Diceros bicornis minor: one gene and its partners. The protein of the gene in region 2 purifies or fractionates together with the protein of the main gene of each other region. This does not show direct contact. Links are inferred from orthologs where the notes say so. Each region holds a gene or a part of one and is shown on either strand. Other genes may lie near its edges.

Region 1 (7,944 bases), on a different chromosome or scaffold from region 2:
AATGGAATTGTTTTCTTAATTTCCTTTTCGAATTGTTCATTGTTAGTATACAGAAATGCAACTGATTTTTGTATGTTGACTTTGTATCCTGATACTTTACTGAATACATTTATTAGTTCTAAAATTTTTTTTGTGAAATCTTTAAGGTTTTCTACATATATGATCATATCATCTGCGGGGCCAGCCTGGCGGTGCAGTGGTTAAGTTTGTGCATTTTGCTTCGGTGGCCTGGGGTTCATCAGTTCAGATCCTGGGTGCAGACCTACTCACCGCTCATCAAGCCGTGTTGAGGCGGTGTCCCACATAGACGACCTAGAAGGACCTACAACTAGGATATACAACTGGGGGCTTTGGGGAGAAAAAAGAAAAGAAAATCATATCATCTGCAAACAGAAATAATTTTACTTCTTCTTTTCCAATTTGGATGCCTTTTATTTCTTTTCTAGCCCAATTGTTCTGGCTAGAACTTCTAGTACTATATGGAGTAGAAGTGAGAAAAGTGGGCATCTTTGCCTTTTTCCTGATCTTAGTGAAAAACTTTCAGTCTTTCACCATTGAGTATAATGTTCACTATGGGTTTTTCATATATGGCTTTTATTATGTTAAAGTAGTTTCTTTCTATTCCTAGTTTGTTGAGTGTTTTTATCATGAAAGGGTCAAATAGAATTTCAGGAATTAAAGACAATAATTATTGAAATAAAAACCCAAGGTGTGGTTTAAACAGGAAATTAGACATAGTTGAAGAAAGAATTAGTAAATTGGTGGAAAGAATTGAATAAATTACACAAGATTCAGGAAATAGATAGTAAGTGTAAAATAGAGGCTAAGAAATATGGATGCTTCACATTTCTAATGGGAGTTCTAGTAGGAGTCATGAGAGAAAATGGCAGAGAGTCAACATTCTGTGAGATACTGGTTGAATATTTTTCAGAATTAACATGAATTCTCAGATTAAAGAAGCATATTATGTCTCAAGCAGGAAAAATAAAGAAAACACACACACACACACACACACACACACACACACACCAAAGTGGAAAGGTAGAACGCAAAACACAGTGAATGTCTTAAAACACACCGGAGAAAAGACAGATGATTTCTAACAAAATCACGAAAAGCAGCCTGACAGGACTTTTTATCAGTATATAAAAGCCAGAAGACTATGGAAAAATGTCTTTAATAATTGTCAGTCTATAATTCTATGCACAGCTAATCTGTCATTTAAAATTAAGAGTGAAATTAAGACAATTTTATGTATACAAAGTGTATTAGTTTCATAGGGCTGCCATAACAGAGTACCACAAACTGGGTGGCTTAGAACAACAGAAATTTATTTCTCACAGTTTTGGAAGCTAGAAGACCAAAATAAAGGTGTTGACAGTGCTATCTCTGAAACCTATAGGGGAAGGATCCTTTTCTTGCCTCTTCCAGCTTCTGATAGCCTGAAGCATAACTACAATCTTCACATGGCATTCTCCTATGTCTCTTCAAATAGTCCTTCTTCTGTGCATATCTATGTCTGTGTCTAAATTTCCCCTTTTTATAAGGACACAAGTCATATTGTGCTATGGTCTGAATGTGTTGAAATCCTTACCCACAAAGATGATGGCATTAGGAGGTAGGGCCTTTGGGAGATGCTTAAGTCATGAGAACAAAGCCCTCACAACTGGGATTAGTGTTCTTATAAAAGAGACCCCACAGAGATCCCTTGCCCTTTCCACCAAGGGAGGACACAGTGAGAGGTCAGCAGTCTGCAACCGAGAATATGGCCCTCACCCAAGCATGCTGGCACCCTGATCCTAGACTCCAGTCTTCAGAACTGTGAGAAATAAATGTTTGTTGTTTATAAACCACCCAGTCTGTGGTACAGATCTTCCTCGATTTATGATGGGGTTACGTCCTGATAAACCCATCAAAAATTAAAAATATTGTAAGTTGAAAATGCGTTGGGGCTGGCCCGGTGGCTTAGTGGTTAAGTGCGCGCGCTCTGCTACTGGCGGCCCGGGGTTCAGATCCCGGGCGCACACCGACACACCGCTTCTCTGGCCATGCTGAGGCCGCGTCCCACATACAGCAACTAGAAGGATGGGCAACTATGACATACAACTATCTACTGGGGCTTTGGGGAAAAAAAAAAGGAGGAGGGTTGGCAATAGATGTTAGCTCAGAGCCGGTCTTCCTCAGCAAAAAGAGGAGGATTAACATGGATGTTAGCTCAGGGCTGATCTTCCTCACACACACATACACACACACAAAAGAAAATCATTGAACACACTTTATCTATCAAGCATCATAGCTTACCCTAGCCTACCTTTATTATTATTACTTTTTTGATGAGGAAGATCAGCTCTGCGCTAACATCCATGCCAATCCTCCTCTTTTTGCTGAGGAAGACTGGCCCTGGGCTAACATCTGTGCCCATCTTCCTCCACTTTATATGGGACACCACCACAGCATGGCCTGACAAGCGGTGCATTGGTGCATGCCCGGATCTGAACCCGGGCCGCCAGCAGCAGAGTGCATGCACTTAACTGCTATGCCACAGGGCTGGCCCCTATCCTAGCCTACATTAAACATGTTCAGAACACTTACATTAACTTACACTTGGACAAAATCATGTAACACAAGGCATTGAATATCTCATGTATTTTACTGACTACTGTACAGAAAGTGAAAAACAGAATGGTTATAAGTGTATCAGTGGTTTACCTTCATGATCGCGTGGCTGACTGGGAGCTGCGGCTCACTGCCACTGCCCAGGATCATCAGAGAGTATTGTACTGCATATCGCTAACCCAGAAAAGATCAAAATTCAAAATTCGAAGTATAAGTTGTCAGAAGTTGAGGACCGTCTGTATTTTGTTATAGCAGTCTGAAGAACTAAGACATGTTGGATTAGGGCCCACCCTAATGACTTCATTTTAACTTGATTACCTCTTGTAACGACTCGATTTCCAGATACATGACATTTAGAGGTACCCGGGTAGGATATACATCTTTTTTTGTGGGGACACAACTCAACTGACAACACGAAGACTAAGAGAGTTTACTTCTCAAAGACTCTTTCTGAAAGAATCTACTGAAGGATTTACTTCATCAAGAAGGAAATTAAACTCAGGAGGAAGGAGTGGTATGCAAAAAGGAACAATGATCAAAAAAACTGAGAGAAGATTCTTGCCTAAGGTCACATTGCTCTTAAATAGTGCGGTCAGTACTTGAACCCAAGTTGTCTGACACCTTAGCCCAGGCTCTTAACTTTTACATTGCACATATCTCTATGAGGAATGTTTCAAAATCTCATAAGGTAATGTATAGGAAAGTATCTGAGACCTGCTTTGAATTTTAATATTCAGTCATTATTTATTGATCATCTCTAATGAAGTTCTAAGACAATCCCAGAGTAGAATTAGGCCCTTTTTTTATTTCCCAAATTAGAGAGTGATGACAAATTTTCTTCTGAAGAAGAATTCATTCTCAACAAGTGTTTATTTTGTATCCCTTCCCTGTGATGCACTGTGATAAGTGTTCTGGGTATAAGTGGTGGGGGAACCACTATCCCACAGATCTTGATTTTAAGGAGCTTACAGTCTAATAAAATTTTTTTTTAAAGGTAGAAAGTGTCATGTGCTTTGAGAGAGGAACAGATGTAGTCTTGAGGAGAGTTCAGAGGAGGGATTATTTTTGGTCTCCTCCATTGGGCTGCACCTTGAAAGACAAACATGACAATGCTAACTACGTCAGCTTAACTACAACTATTTATTGAGTACCTACTGTGTGCATGGTGCTATGCTTGGAGCTTTTCATCTTGATCTTATTTAATCCTCACAATAACTTTGTTAGGTCAGTATTGTTACTCTCAAATTAAATAAGGAGATATACTGTATTGCCACACAATTAGCCAATGGAACCAGACAGACCTAGGCTCAAGGTAGACCAAATCTTAAATTCAGATCTTGCTGGTTCCAAATTCCCTGCCCTTTCTCTTTCCTCACAAGTTTTTAGAGTAGGTAAAACATCCATTTCTTTCATTTCCAAAGTCCAATACTATCCATCCTTCTGGTTCAAATGCCGGGTCTTTTACAGAAGATTCTCAAAATGGGGTCTGCAGACAACTTGCATCAGGTCATAAAGGGAGTTTGCAAAACTACAAAATTTCCAGGCCCCAATCTGAAAGATTCTAAATTAAGTTTGGGATAAAGACCAGAGAATCTGTATTTTTTTCCACAAACTTATTTGGCCTCTTTTCAGAACCACGTGTCTAGAAAGTCTTCCAGGAGCGTTCAGTACAAATAAGTTCTTTGGAAGAACACTTCAGGGGCCCGCCTGGTGGTATAGTGGTTAAGTTCATGCACTTTGCTTCAGTGGTACAGGGTTCGCAGGTTCGGAACCCAGGTGCGGACCTATGCACTGCTCATCAAGCCACGCTATGGCGGCATCCCATATACAACATAGAGGAAGATGGGCAACAGATGTTAGCTCAGGGCCAATCTCCCTCACCAAAAAAAAAAAAAAAAAAAACACACGCACAAAAAACACTTCAACGAAGCCTTCTGGTCTTCATATTGGCATGCTTGAGGCTCAGGCTGATTCTTCCTCTTCCTGACAACACAGGAACTAGCTTGAAGGACCGAATGACTGAAGAGGTTTTGGCCGGATCCACATACATCCCAATTTAGCAGCACAAACTAAGCTATTTGTCAAAATGCTTAAAACCATACGCGAAATCTGCGCATTGTGCTCTGTCTGGAAGGATGTGGCGAAGCAAGCCAGGTCTGATCGCTCACGTGGGGAAAACAGACTCTGAATCGGAATCCCCAAGTTTCAAGGGATGCTAGCCCCAGAGCCAGGAGGAAACTCAATTAGCCCAACTCATGCGCAGGCGCAGAAGGAAAGAGGACTATCAAACCGCCAAGGCGCGCCCTTCCCGCTTCCTCTTTCTGGCCTTCTCCCACCGCGCAGGCGCAGAGAGTGAACCAAGATGGCTGCCCCCGTGGATCTGGAGTTGAAGAAGGTAAAGGAGGGTATTGAGCAGGCAGTGGCTTCTCTTTGGAAGCTAAGGGGAGTGTGAACAAGAATATCGAGTGAGGCTCGAGTCCTGCGGAAGGAAAGAGGCCTCAGGGAATTGGGGAATGATTTCCCAGAGTCCTAAGGCGGGACCGGGTCTCCTTAGGCTGGAGTGGTGGGCGAGCGTCTCTAGCTGGATAAGAGCCGGTTGGGCTTGGTCTGGTTAAGTCAGGCGGGCCGTTGGCTGGCCTGTCCCCTCGTTCCGAGCTCCAGAGCCGTTTCGTTGCGCTCAGAGCCATCAGTTGCATCGTAAGGCCTGAAGTGAGCGTTTCAAATTGGAGCCCTTTCGGACGAGCCGAGGCATCTGTAATTCTGCATCCCCATCTGCTTTGAAAAACTCCCTGTTCCAACCTTGTGTTTTTTAGTCCACTTATTTGATTCCATCTTGAAAGGTCGTAGTATATACATACATTTCCGCGTCAGATATTCTCATAGCAATGTTCATCTGAGGGCTTTGTCTTCCACCCCCTTCCCCCTTTTTTTGAAGAACTTGTAAACTACAGAAACAAGTCCAGTAAAGTTTTCCAAATAAAATCGATGTCTGAAGGAATTGGGTTTCTCTCTTCAAACAATTGCTTATTAACGTGTTGTTACTTAAAAACGTTTTTGCCATCTGCGAGTTGTCAGGATTTTAACACCACTGCCAACCCAAAACGATATCCTTTTTTGGGGACGCTGGGACACAGGGATTGGAAAGGATGCTAGACTTCATCTACTTTAAACCTATACTTTTCTAGAAGAGGAAACTGAGTACCAGAAAAAATTCAGGCACAGGCTGAGAGTAGAATCCAGCATTCTCTGCTTTACTTCACACCTTTGACCATTAGTTTAGGTTTTTCAGAAAAGCAGATTTTACTAAAGACTGCCTTCTGGTCAACCTTTGCATAGCTCTTGCTCCTAATAAATGAAGCCGTTTGTACGTATGTGTGTGTGTCTTGCTTTTTGTCATTCCTGTTTGGAAACTTGTAAATTTAGCCCTTACCTGGTGGTCTCTAATGCAGTAGTATCTCAGCTTTAACAATATACTAGCTTCCTTAGCAAACTATGTACAGAACAATCAGGTAATACCTATAATTTTACATGCAAAACAAAATTCATTTTAAGAATGCTTGAAGCATTCTAAAAGTTTAACTTTTTTTTTTCTGTTAAAAATTCAAATTTAAGTCAGGGTTTAGTGAAAGAGCTAATAGAGTACAGCTGTGAATGGACTTGCCTCCCAGTATTATTTGGATTTGATGCTAAGAAACCTGTGGACAAAATGCATACTAAGAAAATGATTACAGACTTAAATTGGATAGTTTTGACAACCAATTAAATTAACCATAAGAGAAACTTGTGGGGCTGGCCCAGTGACATAGTGGTTAAGTTTAGGCACTCTCTGCTTCAGTGGACCACGGCCCCCGGTTCATGGGTTTGTATCCCTGGCAAACCTACACACCACTCATCAGGCCATGCTGTGGTGGCGTCCCACATACGAAATAGAGGAAGATTGGCACAGATATTAGCTCAGGGACAATCTTCCTCACCAAAAAAAAAAAAAAAAAAAGGAAACTTGTTGTTTAAAGGTTTTATCTTCTAATATCTTTATAAGGTCTCTTTTTGGAGGGGGTGGAGACTAATAGGAAATTTCAGGTACCTCCTCTCTCCTCAAATAAATCTTTTTAAACTTTACTATTAGGTGAGACCAAAGTCAGAATAAAACATAAGTAGTAGACTTTGCCATGTATTGCAGTCACTAATGTTATTAGTAAGGCATAAATTTGACAGCAGGTGAAAGTTATTCCAGGCACTTCAACAAAAATATCCAAGATCTGTGTTTATCTTTGAGTTAAGTGTACACAAGGGTCAAATTTGGCTTGGTATGTGCATGTGAAGATCATGATAAAGTCTACCAATGCTTTGAAATTTTTTTCTCTTTTTTTTTCTTTCTCTTAAAAATATTCATATTCTGAATATTACTGTAGACAGTAGAATAGAAAGATTTCTGAACTAGGGGTCAGAAGAAATGAATTTAAGTACTGTAGCTGCCTTTCCACCTAATAGTTATTAAGCCTGTGCAAGCCATTTATACCTCTTTAACACATTTAGTTACTTAATTTGTAAACTATGATGATGAAACTGCCATCCCTGACTCGTAACATCATTGAGAAGAGTAAATGAGATTTTTTTATTATATCCCTCAGTGCTCTCATATTAATATTCCAATGTTAATATTTCAAACAAATGTGGGAAAGTGCTATGAAACCTAGTTGTATAATGCAAATGTAGCAAGTTGTTACACTTATGATTCTTGTTTTCAGTCTCTGGGTTTCATCCTCTGACTGTTGCATTTATTGCTTTTATTATTCCTTGGGTACCTGCTACTTGATATGGTTATTATTTAATGTGCATTTGTTCTGCTTCTTCAAATAGATTGCTTCTTCTGAGGACAGGGTAAATTCAGTATTTAGCATAGTGGCTTGATCCTTTACAATTATATTGACTTTTGTTGGTGTTTGCTTTGGTAAATTTCACAGCTTTGTCTCTAGTTAGCATGCTTTATTTTTTTATTTATTTATGTTTTTGTGAGGAAGATCAGCCTTGAGCTAACATCCATGCCAATCCTCCTCTTTTTGCTGAGGAAGACTGGCTCTGAGCTAACATCTATTGCCAATCTTCCTCCTTTGTTCCCCCAAAGCCCCAGTAGATAGTTGTATGTCATAGTTGCACATCCTTCTAGTTGCTGTATGTGGGACGCCGCCTCAGCATGGCCAGACAAGCGGTGCGTTGGTGCGCAACCGGGATCCAAACCCTGGCTGCCAGTAGCGGAGCGCGCGCACTTAACCGCTAAGCCACGGGGCCCTCCCCTGCATGCTTTATTTTAATATATTTGAATTTGAC
Region 2 (7,365 bases):
AGTGCGGGGGTCCAGGGTCTTCCTACGCTCACATGATACAGGTTCACAGGGGATGTGAGTGCCTCACTCTGCAGGGCCCTTTGTTAGTTTCAGCGAGGGACACAAAGAAGTACAAGACATGGTCTCTTTCCATAGGGAGCTGTTAGGGCAAGGGAGAGCACCTTGCACTCCAGTGACCACAAAAGACTTCTTGGAGTTGTCTTGAGTGCAGGATAGGGATTGAATGCAAAAGACAGGGAAGGGAATTCCTTGTGACAGCTGAAATGATTCTGGCTATGTCCTGTGTGTCAGGGGTGACTGTGTGTGTGTTGGCCCTGGCCACCCTCCAGCCTGGAACTGTGGGCAACACCCTCCTGCTGACCCGGCTGGAAAAAGACAGTCCCCCAGTCACTGTGCAGATCCCCACTGCCCAGAGCGAGGTAGGTGTCCTGGGCTAGGGAGCAAAGTTGGGCTGGGGTGGGCTTCTGGTCAAGCCGCTCACATTCTGTGGCTGGGGGGTGGAGAGATGGTGCTCACATGGACAAGCAGATATCTCATAGCCCCGTCTCCCAAAGCTGCCTCTGAGTTTGGCCCTGAAAGAGTTTGATGCCATCCAGAAGGAACAGAAAGAGAACAGCAGCTGTACTGACAAGCGAGAATGGTGGACAGGGCGGCTCGGACTGGACCACAGGATGGAGGTGTGTGCCCCCAGGGGGGGTGGGGTCAGGCTGCCCTAGGAACGATCTGGAGTGCCAATGTCCTCTCTCACGGGTCCCAGCTCAGTGCCGAGCCACCTCTAGCCCTTTCTGGAAGTGTAGGCCTAAATAAAAAATTATGTCACTTGGGAAGGACTTGAGACAAGAGCCCAGAACTTGAAGGAGTTATGACAATGGAATGTTTAAAGATACACACAAGAAAAAGGATTTAAGCCCAAGTGTCAGCTTCACAGTTTTGCTGTCATTGCCCACCTGTTCGTATTTGTCAAAACATAGTGATAGGTAATAAATCATCTCATCTGTACTGCCCCCAAGTCGCAGCAGATGAAACATGTTTCTAGCTTCTTGCCTTCTATGACTGGCAGAAGGAAATGTAAGACAGAGACACACAGGAAAACCCATTTCCTCCTCTCGGTGTCGGTGCCTGTGGGAAAGAAACTCGGCTCCCTCTCTGCCTGAAAGTTCCGTTCTACATTCAGGTTCTCGTCACATCGCTGGAGAAGGTTGTGTTGGGCTGCTGGAGGGGGCTGTTGCTGCCATCCAGTGAGGACCCCGGCCCTGCCCAGGAGGCCTCCCGCCTACAGGAGTTGTTGCAGGGATGTGGCTGGAAATATCCTGACCCCACTCTGCTGAAAGTGAGTTGAGAATCAGGGAAGGGGCAGAAGCTAGACTTAACTCCTTCCCACCTGCCACTGTGAGCGGAGCTGGAGCTGTGGCATTCACTGACCGCTGTGCCCCTGCAGATCCTGCTCAGTGCTGCCAGTACTCTCACTGCTCAGGACGTGCAGGCCCTGGCCTGTGGGCTGTGCCCTGCCCAGCCAGAGCGAGCCCACGAGCTCCTGAGTGAGGCCATAGGGCGTCTACGGGGTCAGGCGGTACCAAGCAATAGGCACCTTGTCTTAGTGCTAGACAAGGTAAGGAGCTGGGGCCCGAGGGGCAGTGTCTGGTGGGCAGTGGGCACCTATTCACCCCCACGCCCCTTCTGACTCCTGCGTATACCTGGCTAGGGACAGTAACCTCTCAGTGCTTTCTGCCCAGGACCTGCAGAAGCTACCATGGGAGAGCATGCCCAGCCTCCGGGCACTGTCTGTCACTCGGCTGCCCTCCTTCCGATTCCTCCTCAGCTACTCCATCATCAAAGAGGTTGGGGGTTCAGGGAGTGGGGCATGGGGGTGATTGGTGATTGGGTGGGACTTGAAGAAAGAAAATGCAGAGAGACCTGGGAAGAAAGGAAAAGGTCTTAGGAATGGATCAGTCATGGCAGGGGCTTAGAGTTTGTGGGGCTGCAGCCCTCTGGCCAGACCAGGATCCTGATAACCACTGTCTCTTCCTCAGGCTGGGGCCTCATCGGTGCTGAGCCAAGGGGTGGATCCGCGCAGTACCTTCTACGTCCTGAACCCTCACAATAACTTGTCAAACACAGAGGAGCAATTTCGAGCCCATTTTAGCAGGTCGGGGGGATAAGAGTAAGAAAGGGGGTGGAGAAGGGTGGCGACAACATGCAGGCACCATGTCCTTTTCTCCAGAATGAACTGTTGCAGCCCACCCTCTCCCTAGCGTTCCTTCTGCCCTCTTTGCTCTGTGGCCCCTCTTCTTACTCCTGCTTTTTCCCTGCAGTGAAGCAGGCTGGAAAGGGGTGGTCGGGGAGGTGCCGAGTCCGGAACAGGTGCAGGCAGCCCTGACAGAGCATGACTTATATATGTGAGTGCTTAGGGCAGGGAGGTAGGGAGAGGGGCTGTCCCAGAGGAGGGTATCATCATGGTTTGCTTTGGGGCTTTAGAGCCCCTGGCTGAGTCAGGAGGCCTCTGGAGACATAGCAGAGGCCTGATACTGCTCATTCAGGCTCCTCTCACCTCCTTCTGCCTCAGCTATGCAGGGCATGGGGCTGGTGCCCGCTTCCTGGATGGACAGACTGTCCTGCGGCTGAGCTGCCGAGCAGTGGCCCTCCTGTTTGGCTGCAGCAGTGCAGCCCTGGCTGTGCATGGAAACCTGGAGGGGGCTGGCATTGTGCTCAAGTATATCATGGCTGGCTGGTGAGTCTCGAGAGGCAAAGCCCATCCTAGGTCCCCACCCCAGGTTCCTTCCCAGGTCTGAACCCTAAATCCTTCTTCTCTTGTACCCCACCTTCCTCCCATCCTAGTCCCCTGGCATGCCTGGGACTTTAATCCTTTACCCTCTTCTCTCCTCTTAGAACTATGGGCCCAGGGACTTCCTCATTGGCTCAATTCTCTCTACCCACCCATCACCAGCCAATCATGTTTTCCTGTGTATTCTGTTTTAGAGCCTTTACTCTGTATTTCTTCCTTCTTTTTTCCCAGCCCCCTGTTCCTGGGTAACCTCTGGGATGTGACTGACCGTGACATTGACCGCTACACGGAGGCTCTGCTGCAGGGCTGGCTTGGAGCAGGCCCAGGAGCCCCCCTTCTCTACTATGTCAACCAGGCCCGCCAGGCTCCCCGACTCAAGTATATTATTGGGGCTGCACCTGTAGCCTATGGCTTGCCCGTCTTCCTGCAGTGATCCCTTGGAACTGTCCTATCGCTGATAGAAGCCATGTGACTGTTCTACCTCCAAACTTAGATTTAACCCTTAGGGTAAATTTTAAGTGATTTTCCCCAGTGTTTTATATGAAACATTTAACATTAATGTAATAAAGACACATTATTTAAATCTTGTTTTGTGTAATTCATTTGAAGACAAGACTATTGCCCCCCACCGACCATGTGGTACTATAAACAGATGAGAACAGCTCACAGGAGTTCAAGTCTGAGAGCCTTGGGGAGAAAGGCAAAACCACAGGACAAAGCTGGGCCTGGCTTGGCCTCAGCAGACAAAGCTGAAGGAGAGAGGGGCATCAAAATGCCTTAAGTGGGGACAGAGGCCCAAGGAAGGGTAGAGAGAGACCCACTGGGAGCGTCCTGAGCAGGCACCATCATTTCTGTCCTGTCTTCCTGCCCTCGGGTGTCCTGGCAGTGACATTAGCTTTAATGCCTCAGTTGCCCCCCCCAACTCCCAAAGTTGGACGTTAGAGGCCGTTCTCTCCCCACACACAGCTGTTACACTGGTCGGTGCCGTGCACTTCAGCAGCGGATTTTGTGGGGCTCCGCTGTTTATGCATGGTTTCTGTCTCCCCAAAGAGATTGTTAAGCTCCTCAGAAGCACAGACCTCTCCCCTATCCCTCCATCTAGCACACGGTAAGACATTGCATTGATTAATAAACCTTGTGCCGTACTCGTCCGTTGATAACGTGGCTCTTGATCATGCTCTCCACCCCTAGACTCCTCAGCTTCATGCCGACAGCACCACTTTCACGACGCTACTCCCCCTGACCCCGCACTTCCCAGGCGTCTTCCTTGACTCTCAGTCACCGGGTTTATACCATCCACGTGGAGTAGCATACATTGCTTTGCAAAATTGCGGTTATGGCCTGAGTACTTTTAAGATTTTTAAGTTCCTTGAGGGCAGGAGTCCTGTTTGCCACAATTTTACTACGCTAGGCTTGGGATGTCTTATGCAGAGAACGCACAACTACCTTCTCTCATCAAAGGCGAGTCTGAGAAGCTCAGCCCCTCCCGGGACGGGGATCATAGAGATGTCTGGCGCAGCGAGGCCTCCCGCGCAGCCATCGAGGCGCGCAGGGGAAGGCTAGAGCGCTGCTCGCAGAGCCGCCTTCCGCTTCGCTAGTTCTCCTCCCCAACATGGCGCAGTCGGTTAACATCACGGAGCTGAACCTGCCGCAGCTAGAAATGCTCAAGAACCAGCTGGATCAGGTGGGGACGGGCCCCAGAGACAGCCCTTTCCCCCCTCGCATCCCTCCTGCCCACGCGTACTCCCTCGCCCCCCTTCCTCCCCACTTTGGGAAGCTTCTCTTCCCAGGTGAAACCCCCATCAGGTCCCAGGACCCGCAGGTTCCCACTCTGACCCTCTTTCCCGTCCTCTGTAGGAAGTGGAGTTCTTGTCCACGTCCATTGCTCAGCTCAAGGTGGTACAGACCAAGTATGTGGAAGCCAAGGACTGTCTGAACGTCCTGAACAGGAGCAACGAGGGTATGGGGTAGGCGTGTGAAGGCAACCGGGGGGTGTGGCGAGCCGGCTTCCTCTCTCGTCCCGCCTCCTAATCCAGTTGCCCTTACCCGAGACGAGAAAGCAATCCGTTACATATTGTCTGCCGCTACACGAGCCCTTTGCATGGTGCCTGCCTAGCATTGAAATGTACAGGACATTCCTCTGCTCCTGTTCCCCGTTTCCCTTCTTTTCATACTATCTCTGGGCGCTGTGTCATGTTGGAGTTCCCTTTTAACATCTTAACGTCGGAGGTGCCCACCTTCCCCAGATGTTTGTCTTAATTGCTTTTACAGGGAAAGAATTACTCGTCCCACTGACGAGTTCTGTATCCTTTCCACACGAACTGCTACCCTGCCCTCTCCTTTTCTCCTTCCCCCCTCCCCAAAAGGGGTGGGAGGTAGTTTTGATTATTCCAGAGTGCCCCCATGGTTCTGAGAACACTCTTATTATACACACTTCGTAGCTCTCCTGTCTAACCTGGGGCCAACATCCAGTCAATGCCTTGTGAGCAGGAAATATGTAGAATTGAGGTGTGATTATTTCCTTTTGCTGTTTGAGGATATAATCTAATATGGAGATAAAACTGGTGGTTTACACTTTTACTAATAACTTAGAAGACATAAGCAATAGAATAAGAGGATATAGAAACAAAGGGATTGGCTCTGTTTATTAATCCTCAATTTCAGCTTAATTGTGGCTCTTATTCCTAACCTTTTGTTACTAAGAAACCTGGGTTGTGTCTACCTGTTGAGTGTTTTACTTGAGTAAGTTATGACAATAGGGCACCTGGAGACTAGTCTGAGAACTGACAGGCTAAAAGAGAAACACAGGAATAGCAGTGTAGTAGGGATTGGCTAGATAATGAGCACTAAATCCATCAGGAATTAAGTAGTTCATAGTTGGGAGTGCTGAGGGGAAGTGAGGCTGGCTTTTCACTTTTCACACTCTACAGCAGTGAGAATATATTATGTCTTGTCTTTCTGGAGGGGCTAATGGGAAGAATTGTAAGAACTGCTTGGAGGTGGGAGATGGGATCAGGGTAAAAGTGTTCCAGCCTATGTCATTTTCTCCACAAGGAACCAGCTTCTCTGTCTCTCCCCATTTGGAGTTTATAGGTATAGTTCTAGGGCCTCCAGATGATTCAGTCCCTGTGCCTCGGAGATTTTTAGAGAAGGAGGGTCTTAGAAAGCCAAGCAGGCTAGTGACAGGGAATCATGACTCCTGCTGGGCTAGTTTTCCCTTAATCCTTGCTTCTCAGATGTATGTCCCTGGGAAGCTGCATGATGTGGAACACGTCCTCATCGATGTGGGAACTGGCTACTATGTAGAGAAGGTGAGTGGGAGGAAGCATGTGCATACTCCTGTGAGCGGGGAAAGGGAGTTTAGGGGAAGACTAGAGTGCAGCATTGGAGTCTCCTCTTAGCTCCTCATTCACCTCTGACCTTGCAGACAGCTGAGGATGCCAAGGACTTCTTCAAGAGGAAGGTAGACTTCCTCACCAAGCAAATGGAGAAAATCCAGCCAGCTTTGCAGGAGAAGCATGCCATGAAACAGGGTAAGGTTGGCCTGGGGGCACTGCTTGACCCTTTCTATATCTATGATAGAGAACATGGATTGCAGGTGAACCAGAGGGGTGTCCCCTTTACTGGACTAAAACCATGTCTTTTTCTTTGGTGTTTTGATGTGTTTATTCTCTAGATTCTGTGCATTACATACCTGCTATTTGTAGATTCCTGGGGGTGGGGCGGCGTGGAGACAGTGCTTGAGAAATTGAGAGGAAGAAAATCATGTCTGTGCCCTTGTGGAGCTCCTATTAATTAGGATGGAATGGGGGAGAAGATACATGTAAGTGAACACAGGAAAGAAATAGAGCCATGGGCCGGCCCCGTGGCTTAGCGGTTAAGTGCGCGCGCTCCGCTGCTGGCGGCCCGGGTTGGGATCCTGGGCGTGCACCGACGCACCGCTTCTCTGGCCATGCTGAGGCGACATCCCACATACAGCAACTAGAAGGATGTGCAGCTATGACATACAACTATCTACTGGGGCTTTGGGGGGAAAAAAATAAATTAAAATTAAAAAAAGAAAAAAAGCCTTAACTAAGTACCAGCAATTGCAACCCTGGCTGCTGCACATTAGAATCATCCAAGGAGGTTTGAAAAGAAAGCCTGGGCTCATCCAAACCAACTAAATCACCCGGGGGGTAGGGAGGGGGATTCCAGGGGTCAGTGTTTTTTAAAAAGCTCCCCAGGTGATTCTGTTACACAGTCAGGATTGGGAACCACTGTTCTAAAGGCAAAAATCTTTTCCACATTATAATTTCCTGGTTATGTCTGACTCATTGAATACTGTATTTTGTTCATTTTCCTATCCCAGTGGTTATATTGACTGACACAGTGTAGACTCTAAATTTGTGTTAGTGTGTGTCCCCCACAGTGGATCACTGTTAAAAGTTTTATTAACAAACTGTAGCAGGTTGTCTGCCTGTCCTTAAACGTCCCTGTCACTTTTCCTGACCTCTAGGTTCTCTCCTTTAGCTCCTGACCAGGCTCTGACTTCTTTTTCACAGCGGTCATGGAGATGATGAGCCAGAAGATTCAGCAGCTCA
Region 3 (6,901 bases), on a different chromosome or scaffold from region 2:
TTTATTTCTCCCCAGCAACCTCTCTAACCCGGTCCCTTTATTTGCTCTTAAATTTTTCTCCTCATTTGTCACAGACCCATGTCAAGTACTAGCCACCCAATTAAAGTGATCAGTATGAAGACCTCCCCTGGCTGCAAGTTTGTAAGAAACGATTTTTGGACAAAGAAATGGAAGAACAACTTTGTGGACAATGGACAAACTTAGAGGACATCACAAAGCATTACATGTTGGGATTTTAAATCAGTTTAAGCTACATTCAAACAAATTCTAGGAAGAGAGAGGCTAAAAAGAACTAAGAGAGACACCAGGACTATTTGGAGGATAACAAGTAACCATAGCAAGGAGGGTCACCACATTTCAGCCTGGGGTTTCAGGTTAGAGAATTGTGAGTTCTTCAATTAAACTGCCTTTCCCAACAATTCCTGCATTACAAATGCCCTTCCCATGTTTCCTAAAGACGTGTGCCAACAAAGATAAGAGGGAGTTAAGGGTTGTATACACAGGCAAGTAGTAAGTTTAAGAGAGATTTTAGTCTCAAGAAAGAAAAAACGATTACTCTACCACAGACAGATTCCAGTTGCAAGAATCTGGACCTGTGGGAGTAATGTAGGTGACATATATATAAGGTGGAAGGGGCGGGGGGAATGGATGGAGAATTACCACAGAAGTGTCTGGTCAGGAAACAGCTAGAAGTTTTCACATTTTATTAGCTACAGTATAGATCCTAGAGCTGCCTCATTCCCTCCCCTCCCCGCCCCCCCACCACAGGGTCAGGCCTTCCCAGGAGCCCCTGCCTTTGCTGCCTGGGCCCGCTGGAACTCCTGCTGCAGCTGGGCAAGGGTCTCCCTCTGTTGCTCTGACTGCCGCTCGAGGTCCCGGAGCTGGGATTCATATCGCTTACTGAGGAGAGGCAAGAGAGACAAAAAAGCAAATGAGAAATGAGGGAGACTTACTATTGAGTGTGCTGCAGACAAGAAAGAGATTGGTGGAAAACTTGAGATCTAGGGGAAGGACAAGCAGCATTAAAAGGGAAGGGGTTAGAGGAACTGGACAAGTGGGGGCTACCCTGAAGAGCTACTCTACAATGGCTCCTCAACACCCCTACTCCAACAGTGTCAGATGCATCACAGGGCAGTGGAACAAAGACTCACATTTCAGCTGTGATGTAGTCCAGCCTCTTCCCCACTGTGGCCCGAGCCTCCCCCAGCTCCTGTTTGACCAGCACAGGACCCAGAAGTTTAAAGACCACGTTGGACCCATCCAGCAGGGCCAGTTCCTGATGGAAGAATGGGATATATATGATCACAATCACTGCCACTACAGGTCCCTCCTCGCCCCACAAATCCCAGTCTCTCACCTCCTTCACGATATTATTTTCTGTTAGTTGTGCCTCAAGTTTCTGCCGCCCTGACATGGATTTACTCAAGTCTGGGGGGTGGGAAGAAGGACTTGATTAGAGACATCAACAAATGTGTCCCCTGATCCCTCCCAATCAGAAAATGGAGCTGAGGAAGTGGACAAGGATGGGGACGGCGGGTCAGTGGGTGGAGAAGGGGCTGCACGCGGGGGCCTGGGTGGGGCAGAAAACATCTTGGGATGGCTTTGGGTTCTGAGCGAGTGAGGGGATTGGGGCGAGGCTGCACCGACCCTGCCCCCTTACCCTTCTGTAGCTGTTGGTATTTCTCCACTTCTCCCTGTAGCTTCTTCTGGATCAGCTCTGCCATGGCGGGGACGGAAGCCTGCGGCGAGCGGGCGAGGGGCACTGGGTCTCACACTCTGGAACGTGCCCGAGCTCCCTTTCTGGCCGGGCCTGCGGAAATGACAGCGCTCTTCAGAGGCAGCCTCTCGGGGCACCGCAGCCTCTCTCCGTCCCGGATATCGACTCTACCCCGGCCCCACGAGGTGCCGGGCGAAACGAGACCCCAGACCCCTCAACCGACACCCTACCCTACTCACGTTCTCCCTTCAGTACTAATAAACCCGGAAGCAAACAAAGAATGCTGGGAAAAGACGGCGCCGGAAGCTGTCCTCTGACGTATGCCGGGAACTGTAGTTTTGACATGTTTAATGAATGGTGTTCTGCTAAAAAGACTGGACTCGGAAGGTTTTAGGCAAGATGGGGAAACGAAGCTGGAAAAAGAAACTGCCTCGTTCCTTGTGCCCTGGCCCCGGATTTGCCTTTCTTTCATTACTTGGGCAAAACCTGCCGCTCAGGTGGGCGAGGGCGAGGCTGCCCCGCACCTCCCTGGGGAGCGCGCCCTCACTCAAGATGGCGCCTGGAAGGCTTCAGACCCGGTGCGTGCTGATTGGATGACGGCCAGAGGACTTCCGGGAGTTTTCAAGCGGACTGTTGGACAGCTGAGAGAAGTTTGCACGTGGATCGTGGTTCAGGTGGGCTAGATGGAGACGGCCCCCAAGCCAGGAAGGGGTGTCCCGCCCAAGAAGGACAAACTTCAGGCCAAGAAGAAGGTAGAGACCTCCCTGGGGTGGAAGGGAAATTTTTAACTGCGGGGTCGGAGGGGCGGGGCGCGGGCAGCGGAGTATCAGGGATCCTGATCTGCCGGTAGAAACCGCGGCGATACTGGGAGGAAGAGACCACTCCGACAGCTGCCGCAGCCTCTCCAGGCCCCCCTCAGAACAAGAAGAGAAATCGAGAGCTCCGCCCCCAGAGGCTAAAGAATAATTACATCACAAAGAAGTCTCGGATCTCCAAGAAGCCCCAGGTCCCGAAGAAATCCCGAGAACGGAGAAATCCGGAGCCTCAGCGGAGCTTGTCCGGGGTGAGCCTGGGACCGGATCGGGTGGCGGGGCAAGTCGCCTTGGGCTTTGAGGTTGCGAGGGTTGGGATTAACCCGAGCCTCGAGCCTGTCTGTTAATTGCCTCCTCCCTGCCCCAGGCGCAGGATCCATTTCCAGGCCCCGCCCCCGTGCCTGTGGAGGTGGCTCAGAAGTTCTGTCGCATTGACAAATCCAAAAAGGTGAGGACCAGCCGGGGGGGAGGGGGGCGGGGGGGGGTTGCAAGCAGGGAGTGACTGGGTGAGATGAGTGGAGGCGGGACCAGGTGGCTGTCTTGTGACTCCACATATTTGCTGGTTCTTCTCGCGCTTCTCTACCACCAACGATGTTATAGCTGCCACATTCTAAGTCCAAAACCCGAAGCCGAGTTGAGGTGGCTGAAGCTGAGGAAGAGGAGATAAGTGTCAAAGCTGCTCGTTCTGAGCTGCTGCTTGCTGAGGAACCTGGGTAAGTGGACCCTAATGTGGGCCTCCCCAGCCCCCGCTTTATGGCACTCTTCTTTCTCCTTTTTATGTTGGTACACCCACTTCATATTAGGAAGCTTTGCTGCAACCTTACCACTCACTTGCAGGTTTCTGGAAGGGGAGGATGGGGAGGACACGGCAAAGATACGCCAGGCCGACATCGTGGAGGCTGTGGACATTGCAAGTGCAGCCAAGGTGAGCCTGAGGATGGAAAAGGGGCCAGTGAGTTGATTGGTGGAGCAGAGCAAGATGGACATGGGGACTAGAAGAGGGAATTACTGAAGGGAGCCAGCTCTTCATGATCCTTTTTCTTTTTGCTCTTCCCTTTCCCAGCATTTTGACTTGAACTTGAGACAGTTTGGACCCTACAGGCTGAATTACTCTCGAACTGGGAGGTAAGGTTGAATTCCAGTGACTCTGGAACTAGGACATAGCGGTGTCTCTTTATCACGTCAGCCAAGCCCACCTCAGCCACACCAGCGTATGTCTGGGGTGTTGAGTGGGGAGGGTCCTGTGATTTGCTTGCATGTGAGAGAGAGCATGTGTAGCAACATCTCTTCTCTCACCTGGAGAGGAGGAGCTGGCGTGGGGCAGACCTCAAAAGGTCTGAGTCAGGGTGCTCCCCTGCATTGACACCGTGCCTATACCCCACCTCCAACAGACACCTGGCTTTTGGAGGGCGCCGGGGTCATGTGGCCGCACTTGACTGGGTGACAAAGAAGCTCATGTGTGAGATCAACGTCATGGAGGCCGTGCGGGACATCCGGTCAGTGGGGTGAGACAGCCCATCCCTGATTGAGTGACAGCCCGTGACGCCTTTTCCCACTGAACCACTTCTCCCGTCCTCCCAGGTTTCTGCATTCGGAGGCACTGCTTGCTGTTGCTCAGAACTGCTGGCTTCACATCTACGACAACCAGGGCATCGAGCTCCACTGCATCCGCCGCTGTGACCGAGTCACGCGGCTTGAGTTCCTGCCCTTCCACTTCCTCCTGGCCACAGCTGTGAGTGGCTGTGGAGCACAGGGACCTGGTGGCAGCCCTGGAGAAGACTGCCCTTCCCCTGGGACCACAGTGGAGGGAGGACAGAGGGCAATCACGACTCATTCTCTTCCTCTCTTTCTCTCTCTCTCATAGTCAGAGACAGGGTTTCTGACCTACCTGGACGTGTCAGTGGGAAAGATCGTGGCAGCTCTGAATGCTCGGGCTGGACGGCTCGACGTCATGACTCAGAACCCTTCCAATGCCGTCATCCATCTTGGACACAGCAATGGTGCGTCCCTGGCTGGGCTTTGACTCCCTGACCATGCTGACTTGCTTTTTTCTATACTGTACTTCATGAGTACTTACCTCCCGCTCTTGTTACCTCTTGGCGTTGAGTCCCCATTTTCTCAGGTTTAATCACCTCAGCGCCCTGTTAGTAACTTCAGCTCTTCTCCTCTGATGTCCAGGTACTGTGTCCTTATGGAGTCCAGCTGTGAAGGAGCCACTGGCGAAGATTCTCTGTCACCGTGGTGGGGTCCGGGCTGTGGCAGTAGATTCTACAGGCACGTAAGTCACTTGTTTGGGGGTCACAGCTGGGAAGAAAGGCATAGAGTCAATGTGTCTTTAGGAGCACAGACTCTGCAGCCAGCTGCCTGGGTTTAAATCCTGCTGTTACCACTGACCAGCCGTGTAAGTGTGGGCACGTTACACAACCTCTCTGTGCCACACTCTCCTCACCCTGGGAGTGAGGACATGAGTGTCTAGCTCAGCACATTTTTCCTGTAGAGTCAGGTAGTAAATATTTTAGGCTTTGCTGGTCAAGAGGCAAAATCGAGGGTATTATGTAGGTACTTAAATAACAACAGAGACAACAAAGCACAAATTTTTAAGCAATGAAATTCAAAATATAATGATTTAATACAAAATCTTTGTAATATAGGTCTACAAATGGGAAGAATTCGATTCCTCTTTTTGAAGATAACATTTTGCTTAATTGAGGTTCATGGTTAGTGTTCCAAATCACCAAACTAAATTGCAAATGTTTGTCTGTTAATGCTCATCTGTAAAGAGATTTTCTATATTTCATCTTTGGAAACATCTTTTCACACAGATAGATGATGAGACAGGTGGTCTGTGAGGTGCTCAAAGTGCTGTCAGTTATAACCATGTCACTGAGACTTGTCATGCGCTGGGCAGCAGTGGGAAGCGATAAGATGCCACACACAGTGTCTGTCTTGACCTCTCTACTGTGCTAGTGTAACGGAGAAGCAGCCACAGAACAAGTAAATGAACAAATGTGGTTGTGTTCCAATAAAACTTTATTTGTGGACACTGAAATTTGAGTTTTGTTTAATTTTCACATCTCAAAATATCCTTCTTTTGATTTTTTTCCAACCACTTAAAAATGTAAAAACCAGGGGGGCTGGCCCCACGGCGTAGCAGCTAAGTGCATGCGCTCCGCTGCTGGCAGCGCGGGTTCGGATCCCGGGCGCGCACCGATGCACCGCTTGTCAGGCCATGCTTTGGCGGGGGTCCCATGTAAAGTGGAGGAAGATGGGCACGGATGTTAGCTCAGGGCCAGTCTTCCTCAGCAAAAAGAGAAGGATTGGCATGGATGTTAGCTCTTGTAGGCTGTTCAGAGATAGGTGGTGCAAGGCTTTATTTGGCTCATGGGCTGTGGTTTGCCCAGCCCTGGGCTTAGCTCATAGAGCTGTTGTAGGCGTTACAGTGAGGTAAGGCACGTAGAGTTTAGCGTGGTGCGGGGTGAACGGAGTGCACCATGTTTCATCCTCATCCTCAGCGAAGATGATCGTGCTCTTTAGGTCTGGCTGGTGCTGTGAGGGGTGGGGGTGGTGGGTCCACTTTGAATCTCTGCTCTTTCTGAGAGAGCTTTGGCATTTCCACAGCTCTTCTGATCTGTATGTGTCTCTGGATCTGGCAGACTGTTTCCCGTACAAGTTCCCGTGTGTTTTCCTCTAATTCCTTTCATCTGTCAGGCATTCACCAGGCACCTGGTGTGGGCTGGGCTCTACACTGAGGTTCTGGGGGTATAAGGATGAATCGGCCATTAAGCCTGTCCCAGTGTGTTGTTCCATACACTTTATTTACAAAAACAGGTGGCTGTGGTACAGGAATGATTATCCAGGTCACGCACTTAGGTTCTACTCAGTTGTCTTCTGTCACCCCAGACTGCATGCGTCCATCAAGGGATAGGTCACCTCTCTCCCAAAGTTCCTCCTTGCCTGCCCCCTTTCTGCCACATTTTCCTGTCACCCACAATATGACTTCTTTGCCACCTCTAGCCTCACAGCCCGTGTTCTTCAGCCATCAGTAATAGCAGGAATCCAAAGCACCATTCACTGAGTGCATTCTGGGTGCCCAGGCTCTGCTACTTGCTTTGGTGGTATCACTTCATGACCACTCACTACCCCCCGTGACGTCCTGACTGCTTTTCCCCTCGAGGGTCCTCCAAGTCTGTTCTCTCCATCCTTGCCGTTTCTGCGGACATGCGTGATGCTCACAGCCGGTTTCCAGCCTCCAGTTCTTCCTCCTCCTGGCGTGCCCCGGGTGTGTTGTCAGAATAATCTTTCCCACAAGCTGCTTTCCTTTTACACTGCTGCCCAGGCATCTTCTACATTAGGTATAAACTACATAACTTTA
Region 4 (7,327 bases), on a different chromosome or scaffold from region 2:
AGCCTCCCTCTGCCCCCAGTCCTCTAGCCTGGCCTCTCTCTCCAATCCACCTGCCTCCCTCTCCCGAGTTCTCTGACCAGGCCCAGTTTCCTCCCTATTCCAGCCACGTTCCCCTCCCTGAGCAGGTTCCTGAGTGTGTTCAGAGTGGAGAGTGTGCCCTTCCTCCAGTTTTCCTAACTTGCCCCCTTTCCTCTATCCTGTACTGCTCCGTGTCCCACATTTCCATTCCTGCTCATTGTCCTCTGGCCTTGCCCCCTCTTTTAATTATGTCATTCTTCTTCCCTTCTCTGCTCTTTAATCCTTTTCCCTGGCGCTTGCTCCATGCTCATCCTGCTCTGCTCTACCCTCTGTCCACTGTCCTTTCCCTGCCCCCATCCCCATCCCCCTCCCTCAGCTCTCAGATAGGCCTGCTTTCTTCCTACTGCTTTCCCCACAGAGTAGTTTTATTTTGAAATTTATTAGTTTTTGTGAGGTTGAACACATTTTCACATGTTTACAAGAAATTCTTACGTCTTTTTGTTTGTTAATTGTCTTTTGCCCATTTTTCAGTATGACATTTAGTCTATTTCTTTGGTACAATTTCGCTAATATTTTTTCCCAGCTTCTTAACAGTTTGAATTTGTTCTGGTGTCATTTTTGTAAGAGTTATGTTGTTGTTTTTTATAAATAGGCAAATGTATCAGCCTTTTCTTTTATTGTCCCTGGATAAGTCATAGAATGTCTTTCCTTACACCACAATTAAAGGGGGAATTACCCCATATTTTCTTCTCGTACTTATATGATTTACTTTTTTTACATTTATTTTCCTAATCCATTTGGAATTTATTCTTGTATATAGTTTGTGATATTAATCTAATTTTATTTTTTCCCTGTGAGGGATCATAATTGGCCACCTCAAAAGGTGTCTCATTGGCTTGATTATTTTTAAGAAGAAGATTCTGAAAGAAACTTTGACCTTCCCCCTAACTGCCTAAAAGAATTTAAGATAGAAGGCCTGTTCCAGGAAGGAGCTAATACCATAAGATAACATTGTCTATAGCTGGCCCAGCAAACACTTCTTTACCAAACATTTGCTTTTCCATCTCCATGTGAATTGCCTTCCTCCCCTTTGAAGCCCCAAGCCACTACCCCCAACATCCTCCTTTGTCTTTAGCTGAAAATGGTATTTAAGGGCGGCTTTGGCCATTCTGGTGAGTTACTCAGCTTTCCTGAGTTTCTCCCATGTATACATGTTATAAAGCTCTGATTTTCTCCTGTTATTCTGTCTCATGTCAATTTAATTCTTAGGCCAGCCAGAAAGACCTAGAGGATAGAGGAATTGTCTTCCTCCCCTACATCGCAAATGGCTACCCAGCTGTTACAACACTGTTTATTAAAAAGTACATCTTTGCCTCAGTGATTTGAGATGCCACCCTTGTCATTTACTAAATTTCCCTGTGTACTTGTCTGTTTCTGGACATTCTTTATTCCACAAGTCTGTCTTTCTTCATGCAAAAATGAACACTGGACTTGGAACTGAATTATTTGGGTTTTTTCTGCTCTACCCCAAGACTTTCTGTGAGATTTTAGGCACATTCTTTTCTCTTTCTAGGACTCAGTTTCATCATCTGTAACATGAGAGGCTCCAACTAGATTATTTCTATTTCTATGACTGTCTGTACTAATTAGTACTAATCTAGATTGCCTTATACTATTAGGAGCTAGAGAGTTCCTGCTGCAGCCTGCCTTCCTGGAACTTGAGGCATGGAGTTCTGGCTTCCCAAGCCTGACCCCTTCTTTGACTCAGTGTTGGGGTGACTTTGGGTTCTTGGTTCTCTAGTCCAGGATCTTTTTGCATGTAGCTTCATTTCTTTGGCCTTGAGAGGCTTTTCTTTGACCCTGAAGGGGAGGAAGACTATCCTTTACCCACTCTGGGTCCTTTCTGGCTGAGGTATGAATTAAATTGACATGAGACAGAATAACAGGAGAAAATCAAACAAAGCTTTATAATATGCATACACGAGAGAAAGCCAGGAAAGACTGGGTAACTCGACAAAATGGCTGAGGTTCTCCTCTTAAATACCCTCTTCAGCTAAAGATAAAAGAGGATGTTGGGGGAGTCAGTTATGGGAGATTACCAGAAAAGCACAGTAAACAAGAGTAATGTTATTATGCAGATTTAAGGCCTTGCCTTCCCCATTGATAAGTTTCTACAGATGAAGTCATCCCCCTTTCTTCCCAGTACAGAGAGGGAGATACCTTTACAAATGGAGATTTCCCTTACAAACATAAATGTTTGGTAAACAGAACTTTGATAAGAATGGGCTTAGCAAGGACCGTCCCAGTCTATCCATACCCAGAGTTATCTATAGGGATGGCCTGTCCTGGGGATAGGCCTTCTATCTTAAATCCTTTAAGGCAGTTGGGGGCGGGGTTCAAAGTTTCTTTCAGAGTCTTCTGAGCCTTGATTGTCTTCAGTTTGAAATAATCCACATACCAGAGTGGCACATCTTGGGGCAGCCTGCCCTGAACCCCATCAACCTCTTTCTGATTCTGCTGGCACCCTACCATGACAAGGTCACTTTATATATGTGCTCATAATGACCAGACAGGAAGGATGTTGGGATTGTCAACAAAAATAATCCATAACCAATCTATAAATCAAAATTGGGGTGAGTTTATTATGAGCCAGATCTGAGGACCATATAGCCCCAGAGAGTCCTTCCACAAAGGAATGGGTCACTCCAAATGCATCACATATGATTGGAATGTCCCTTTTACAACGGTCACGAGATTGCTTTGCTGGCACTGCAATTCGATGAACACAGCAGGTCAGTGGTCTGGAGGTGGGTGGTCATAGCAGGTCAGCAATCAATCCCTAGTTTAGGGAAAGATGCTTGTCCTTAAGGAAATGCTGATGTGGAGGAAGTTATATCCTTATCTTTAAGGGCATTGTTGTTGTCTTTGGGACATAGTAAATACTTAAAGCAGATATACAATGCATGCTCAACGGCTGTGTCAGGCCCTTTTGGAAAAAAACAAGTTCAGGCTGAATTAGTTTTATACCAAATGGCTTCCTCATATACTCCAATATCCTATTGCTTGTTATTTCTTTATCAGGATGTTGGGTGAAACAAGATAATCCAAATAAAATTCTTTGGTTGCCCTATTGTGTGGCAATCTTTACAACAGCCTTGTTGGTACACATTGTTATTCTCATTTTAAAATATGACTTAGGTAGTGTCTTCACCTGTGCTCCCTTCCTACCCGATGTGACTATTATAACATTTATCCTATTATCTTACAAATGGTTCATTTTTAAGGCCCTTTACTTGTATGTAAACTAGGAATGATAGCAGTCCCTCTCACACTGAGCTGTGGGGATTAAATAACATGACTCAGTGACTGGTACATAGTTGGTTTCTAATAAATGTTAATCACTGTGTGTGTCCCCACTAGGTAAGGGAACTGACATTTATCCTTTATTCATAAAGGGCTTGGCTCATGGTAGGCTTTGTGTGTGCGGATGAAGCACAGCTTCACTAGGAATCACTGCAGAGCAAGCAAAGGCAAGAATAAACATGGTGGTTAGATGTCAGAAAAGACACCAAAGAATAATTACTTGGGTATGTATAATGCACTTGCTCTCAAAGAGTTGTAGTGATGGGCAATGCTGGGGAAGTCCTTAGGACTAGAAGCCTCAGAAGAGTCCTTAGGATTTTATGTAGACTTAAGTTTTGAAAATGTTTGAGCTGGAGTGGCGAGATTCTGATCAAAGGATGCTTTCAAGAAAGGCTGGTGCAATGGGCGGGGTATTTATTAGAATCAGGCCAGTGACTCCAGAAACAGCCACAAAACAAGCCCCCTTCAAGGGCCAGGAAGCTCGTTGGGATGTTGGGACCAGAAAGGCACTGAAGCCAAAGCCCCATGGTGCCGTCTAGTTCCCAGGTTCGCTTGTATTCGAGAGGTGATCGAGTCACTTCAAAGGCCATTCTGGAGGGTGCTGCCTGTTTTGGGGTGGGAGTGGGGTCCGACTTGGTCCCCAATTCCCAGGGTCTCCACCCCTGCCTACCCACAACATCCCCGAGACCGTTTTTCGCAGGAGTCTGTATTGGTCCTTCCCCCGGAACCAGCTTCTCCTCCGCGGCTCTTCCACGCCTGTCACTCACCTGCGCGCAGCCAGTCAGCACCCACAGGCTGAGTCCGAGGGAGAAGGGGCGGCTACTTCCTGCGCGCCAATGAACGCGCAGACTCACAAGGGAGGGGAGGGCTTGCTGGTGTGAGCGAGCCAATCACGGACCCCCGGCGGCTGGCGGCTGGCGGAGCAGTTAGTCGCACGCTTGTTTCTCCAAGATGGCGGCCGCTAAGGACAGTTGTGGCTTAGGTGAAGTGCCCGCAGGGAACGGGCGGCGGCTCCACCTAGGGATTCCGGAGGCCGTGTTTGTGGTAAGAGCACGCTGGTCCTGGGCATCTTGATGCTAGGCCGTGGGCTACCCCTTCCTTGCCGGTCCCCACCCTGGCCTCGACTGTTGGGGAAAGGAGTTGAGCTAAAGGACCTGGGAAGAGAGTGCCCCGTCCGCTCTCCCTCCACGCCTGGACGGACTGAGCTGTGCTGGGTTCTGCCCGGGGGTGAACCGTGGTCCGAGAAGGCCCGAGAAGGGAAGGGGGCGCGGGGCGAGAGGACGCGGGAGCCGGGCCGGGGGCGGGGGCGGTCCCTGAGACCGACCCGCCCTCCCGCTCCCGGACGCAGGGTTTCGTCCCCTGCTGCCTGGAAAAAGGGAAGCGGTGAGAAGCTCGAGACTCAGCTTAAGTGCTGGAGAGACTGACAGATAAACGGTGACTTAGGATACCATGAGTAGGCAGAATAACTGCTGGTAAGGTGTGAAAACAGGAAATGACACCTAGTCTGTTGAAGGAATGCGGTGGTCTGTTGCCTTAGAGGAATGGAATAAGAGACTGATGGAAAAGTGGGATAGGGTGAAAATGTGAAGTCCTTGTGTGTTCTGCTGAGGAATTGAGGGTTTATCCAGTAGGCAACGGGATGTCGTTAGAAGGTGTCTAAATAAAGCCGTGATATAATCATATTTGGTTTTAGGTACATCATTCTAACAACTTAGTAGAGAATGAATCGTGTCGAGTTGAGACAAGAGGCAGGGAATGCAGTTTGGAGGCTTCACAGAACAGGGAGACCAACCCAAGTCCAAAGAGAAGCAAGTAGATGCTTTCAACCCTGTCTTTCCATCAGGCTAATCTAGAAATAGTATTTGAAAACTGTTTGAATAATGACAGAAAACCTGACTGGCCTTCCAAGCCGGTATCATCTGTCTTTCCCCACTCAGTTCTGGCTGAGTTACTATAAAATCTTAATGGAATTTTCTCGACCTTTTGGTTTGTACTTTTGTTGTGTTATCTCTACCTTTTTGTTAATGGTGTCTTACATCCTTCAAAAGACCCATTTGTTTTATTGATTCTTTTATTTATACCACTTTTATATACACTCTATATTGTATATTTGCATTTGCCGATTCAGTTTTGTAGTTATTTTCTTTAGTTATTTTGCGTTTTCTCCCTGAGCTGTGCCATTTATTTCTTTACGTTCATCTCCCAACTAAGTGTAACGAGAGAGAAAATTTGTTGAGTGCCAGGCACTTTCCTAATGCTTTTACAAAACTCCAGGAGGTAGATACTGTTGTCATTCCCGTTTTGTAGATGATGAAACTGAGGCACAGAACCCTTGAGTAACTTGCCCCGAGTCACACAGGGTGTAAGTGAGTTATCCAGGATTTGAACTTGGGCAACCTATGGGGCTCTGGAGCCTGTACTTACACATCGTGCTCTGCTACTGGGAGGAAAGTGAGGTAGTTACCTTGCTCAGTGTCATTTCTCCTGGTCCTCGCACAGTGCTGACACATAGTATAAGCTTGTAACTGGATGTCAAATTGAATTTCCATAGTGGCTTAAATACTACATTCATGGTGCTTAGCTGGAGATGGCTTCAAAAATCTAATTCAGGAGGATAAACTTTATGAGGGCTTTATAAAGTCTTATCTTAAAATGTTAATGGGTTATTTTTTCTAGACCTTAAAATTTCTACCAATATGATATAATAAGCAATCCAAATTTTACATAATTATTTTTATGTTCCCAAACTAATGGGAATAGTATGGTATTGTAGAAAGAACATTGGCATCTAAATAGACCAGGGTTTGAATTCTGCCTCTACTTCCCAATTGCTGCTTAATCTTGAGCATATTATTTTACCACTTTGAGCCTCCGTTTCTTTAACTGAAAGAGGAATAACAATACTTACAGAGTTGCCATGAGAAATGGAGAATGTGCTTTCAGTATTGCAAGTAGATGCTTAATATATATTAGTTTCTGTGATGATAGGAGGCGGTATACCATACTGGTTAGAAGTCAGACCTCACGCTTTCCCCTTCCCCCATTCCCAGTGGTGCAGTAATTTGCTTTTTTTCCCCCTTGTCCATTTACTGACCTCTTCATGTTTAGAACTTCATATCTAGTTCAGATATGACTTCCCTGTAGTTTTTCCTGACCACTGCTGCAAGACGGAATTCTTGGTACTTTCATCTGTTCCCTTAGCACATTGTGTTATAGAGATAGCTAATGTTTGTTGAGCATTTCCTAGCTGTCATGCACTCTTCTAAGCATTTTACACATGCTAACTCATTTAATCCCCTGTGAGGAAAGGTACTTTTTTTTGATTTTACAGATGAGGAAATTGAGGAAAAGAGAGATTAAATCACTTACCCAAGGTCAACACCTCTAGTATGTGGTGAAGCCAGAATTCAAACCAAGCAGCCCCTGTCTCTTAACCACAGTCCTATGCTGCTATAATTACTTCTCCATGTTAGACTCTAAGCTCCTAATAACAGGTACCATGTGCTAGAAACTTTGACTTATTTCTCTTTCCTGCAGTGGCCCTTCTAGGAAGATGGTATCTCCATTTTACATGCAGAGCTCAGCCCTTGCCTCAGCCTCACCTTTTCAGTTTCTTTTACTGTGTCTCTAGCTTGATGGCTTCATAGTTCACTCCCTTGCTGTGTTTCTCTTCCTTTTTCTCCTTGCTTTGCTTAAGCTAAAATATTCCCTCATAGCTAGTAAGTGTGGAGAAGAATAATGACCTAGAGATCCCATAAACCATAAGATAATTGAATTTAACTTACTTACAATGAAGGACTAAAGTTCTTTACAGTACTAGAAGGCTCTTATAGAATCTCCTTAAAGTTTCCATGTATTTTCATCTAGTTCTTGATCCTCATCTAATTAACTAGCTTTTCTTCAAGGACCAACATATAGTATACATTTTAAAAATGCTATTCGGTTT

Evidence for each region.
Region 1: the proteins of PFDN5 (region 2) and PFDN1 purify together in Homo sapiens (affinity purification with mass spectrometry; 7 studies listed by BioGRID and IntAct, with this or other methods). This does not show direct contact. The link is inferred for Diceros bicornis minor from reciprocal best matches to the Homo sapiens genes PFDN5 and PFDN1.
Region 3: the proteins of PFDN5 (region 2) and PFDN6 purify together in Homo sapiens (affinity purification with mass spectrometry; 5 studies listed by BioGRID and IntAct, with this or other methods). This does not show direct contact. The link is inferred for Diceros bicornis minor from reciprocal best matches to the Homo sapiens genes PFDN5 and PFDN6.
Region 4: the proteins of PFDN5 (region 2) and VBP1 purify together in Homo sapiens (affinity purification with mass spectrometry; 7 studies listed by BioGRID and IntAct, counting the BioPlex papers as one, with this or other methods). This does not show direct contact. The link is inferred for Diceros bicornis minor from reciprocal best matches to the Homo sapiens genes PFDN5 and VBP1.

The regions. Positions count from the first base shown.
Region 1 is NC_080740.1:58,601,486-58,609,429, reverse strand, and holds the start of PFDN1 (prefoldin subunit 1), read left to right. Parts: upstream 1-4,933; 5' UTR 4,934-4,978; coding exon 4,979-5,011; intron 5,012-7,944. UniProt on the Homo sapiens protein: Binds specifically to cytosolic chaperonin (c-CPN) and transfers target proteins to it. Binds to nascent polypeptide chain and promotes folding in an environment in which there are many competing pathways for nonnative proteins.
Region 2 is NC_080756.1:16,973,285-16,980,649, reverse strand, and holds the start of PFDN5 (prefoldin subunit 5), read left to right. Parts: upstream 1-4,359; 5' UTR 4,360-4,394; coding exon 4,395-4,466; intron 4,467-4,639; coding exon 4,640-4,742; intron 4,743-5,053; coding exon 5,054-5,085; intron 5,086-6,018; coding exon 6,019-6,093; intron 6,094-6,209; coding exon 6,210-6,315; intron 6,316-7,326; coding exon 7,327-7,365. Other genes in the region: ESPL1 (separin), read left to right, coding at 292-419, 555-677, 1,175-1,330, 1,439-1,609, 1,734-1,838, 2,031-2,146, 2,313-2,396, 2,564-2,728 and 1 more. UniProt on the Homo sapiens protein: Binds specifically to cytosolic chaperonin (c-CPN) and transfers target proteins to it. Binds to nascent polypeptide chain and promotes folding in an environment in which there are many competing pathways for nonnative proteins.
Region 3 is NC_080753.1:31,171,214-31,178,114, forward strand, and holds PFDN6 (prefoldin subunit 6), read right to left. Parts: upstream 1,937-6,901; 5' UTR 1,725-1,936; coding exon 1,661-1,724; intron 1,429-1,660; coding exon 1,358-1,428; intron 1,277-1,357; coding exon 1,152-1,276; intron 901-1,151; coding exon 771-900; 3' UTR 512-770; downstream 1-511. Other genes in the region: WDR46 (WD repeat-containing protein 46), read left to right, coding at 2,401-2,469, 2,568-2,780, 2,897-2,977, 3,130-3,242, 3,367-3,454, 3,593-3,654, 3,921-4,025, 4,111-4,261 and 2 more. UniProt on the Homo sapiens protein: Binds specifically to cytosolic chaperonin (c-CPN) and transfers target proteins to it. Binds to nascent polypeptide chain and promotes folding in an environment in which there are many competing pathways for nonnative proteins.
Region 4 is NC_080781.1:138,789,852-138,797,178, reverse strand, and holds the start of VBP1 (prefoldin subunit 3), read left to right. Parts: upstream 1-4,316; 5' UTR 4,317-4,332; coding exon 4,333-4,425; intron 4,426-7,327. UniProt on the Homo sapiens protein: Binds specifically to cytosolic chaperonin (c-CPN) and transfers target proteins to it. Binds to nascent polypeptide chain and promotes folding in an environment in which there are many competing pathways for nonnative proteins.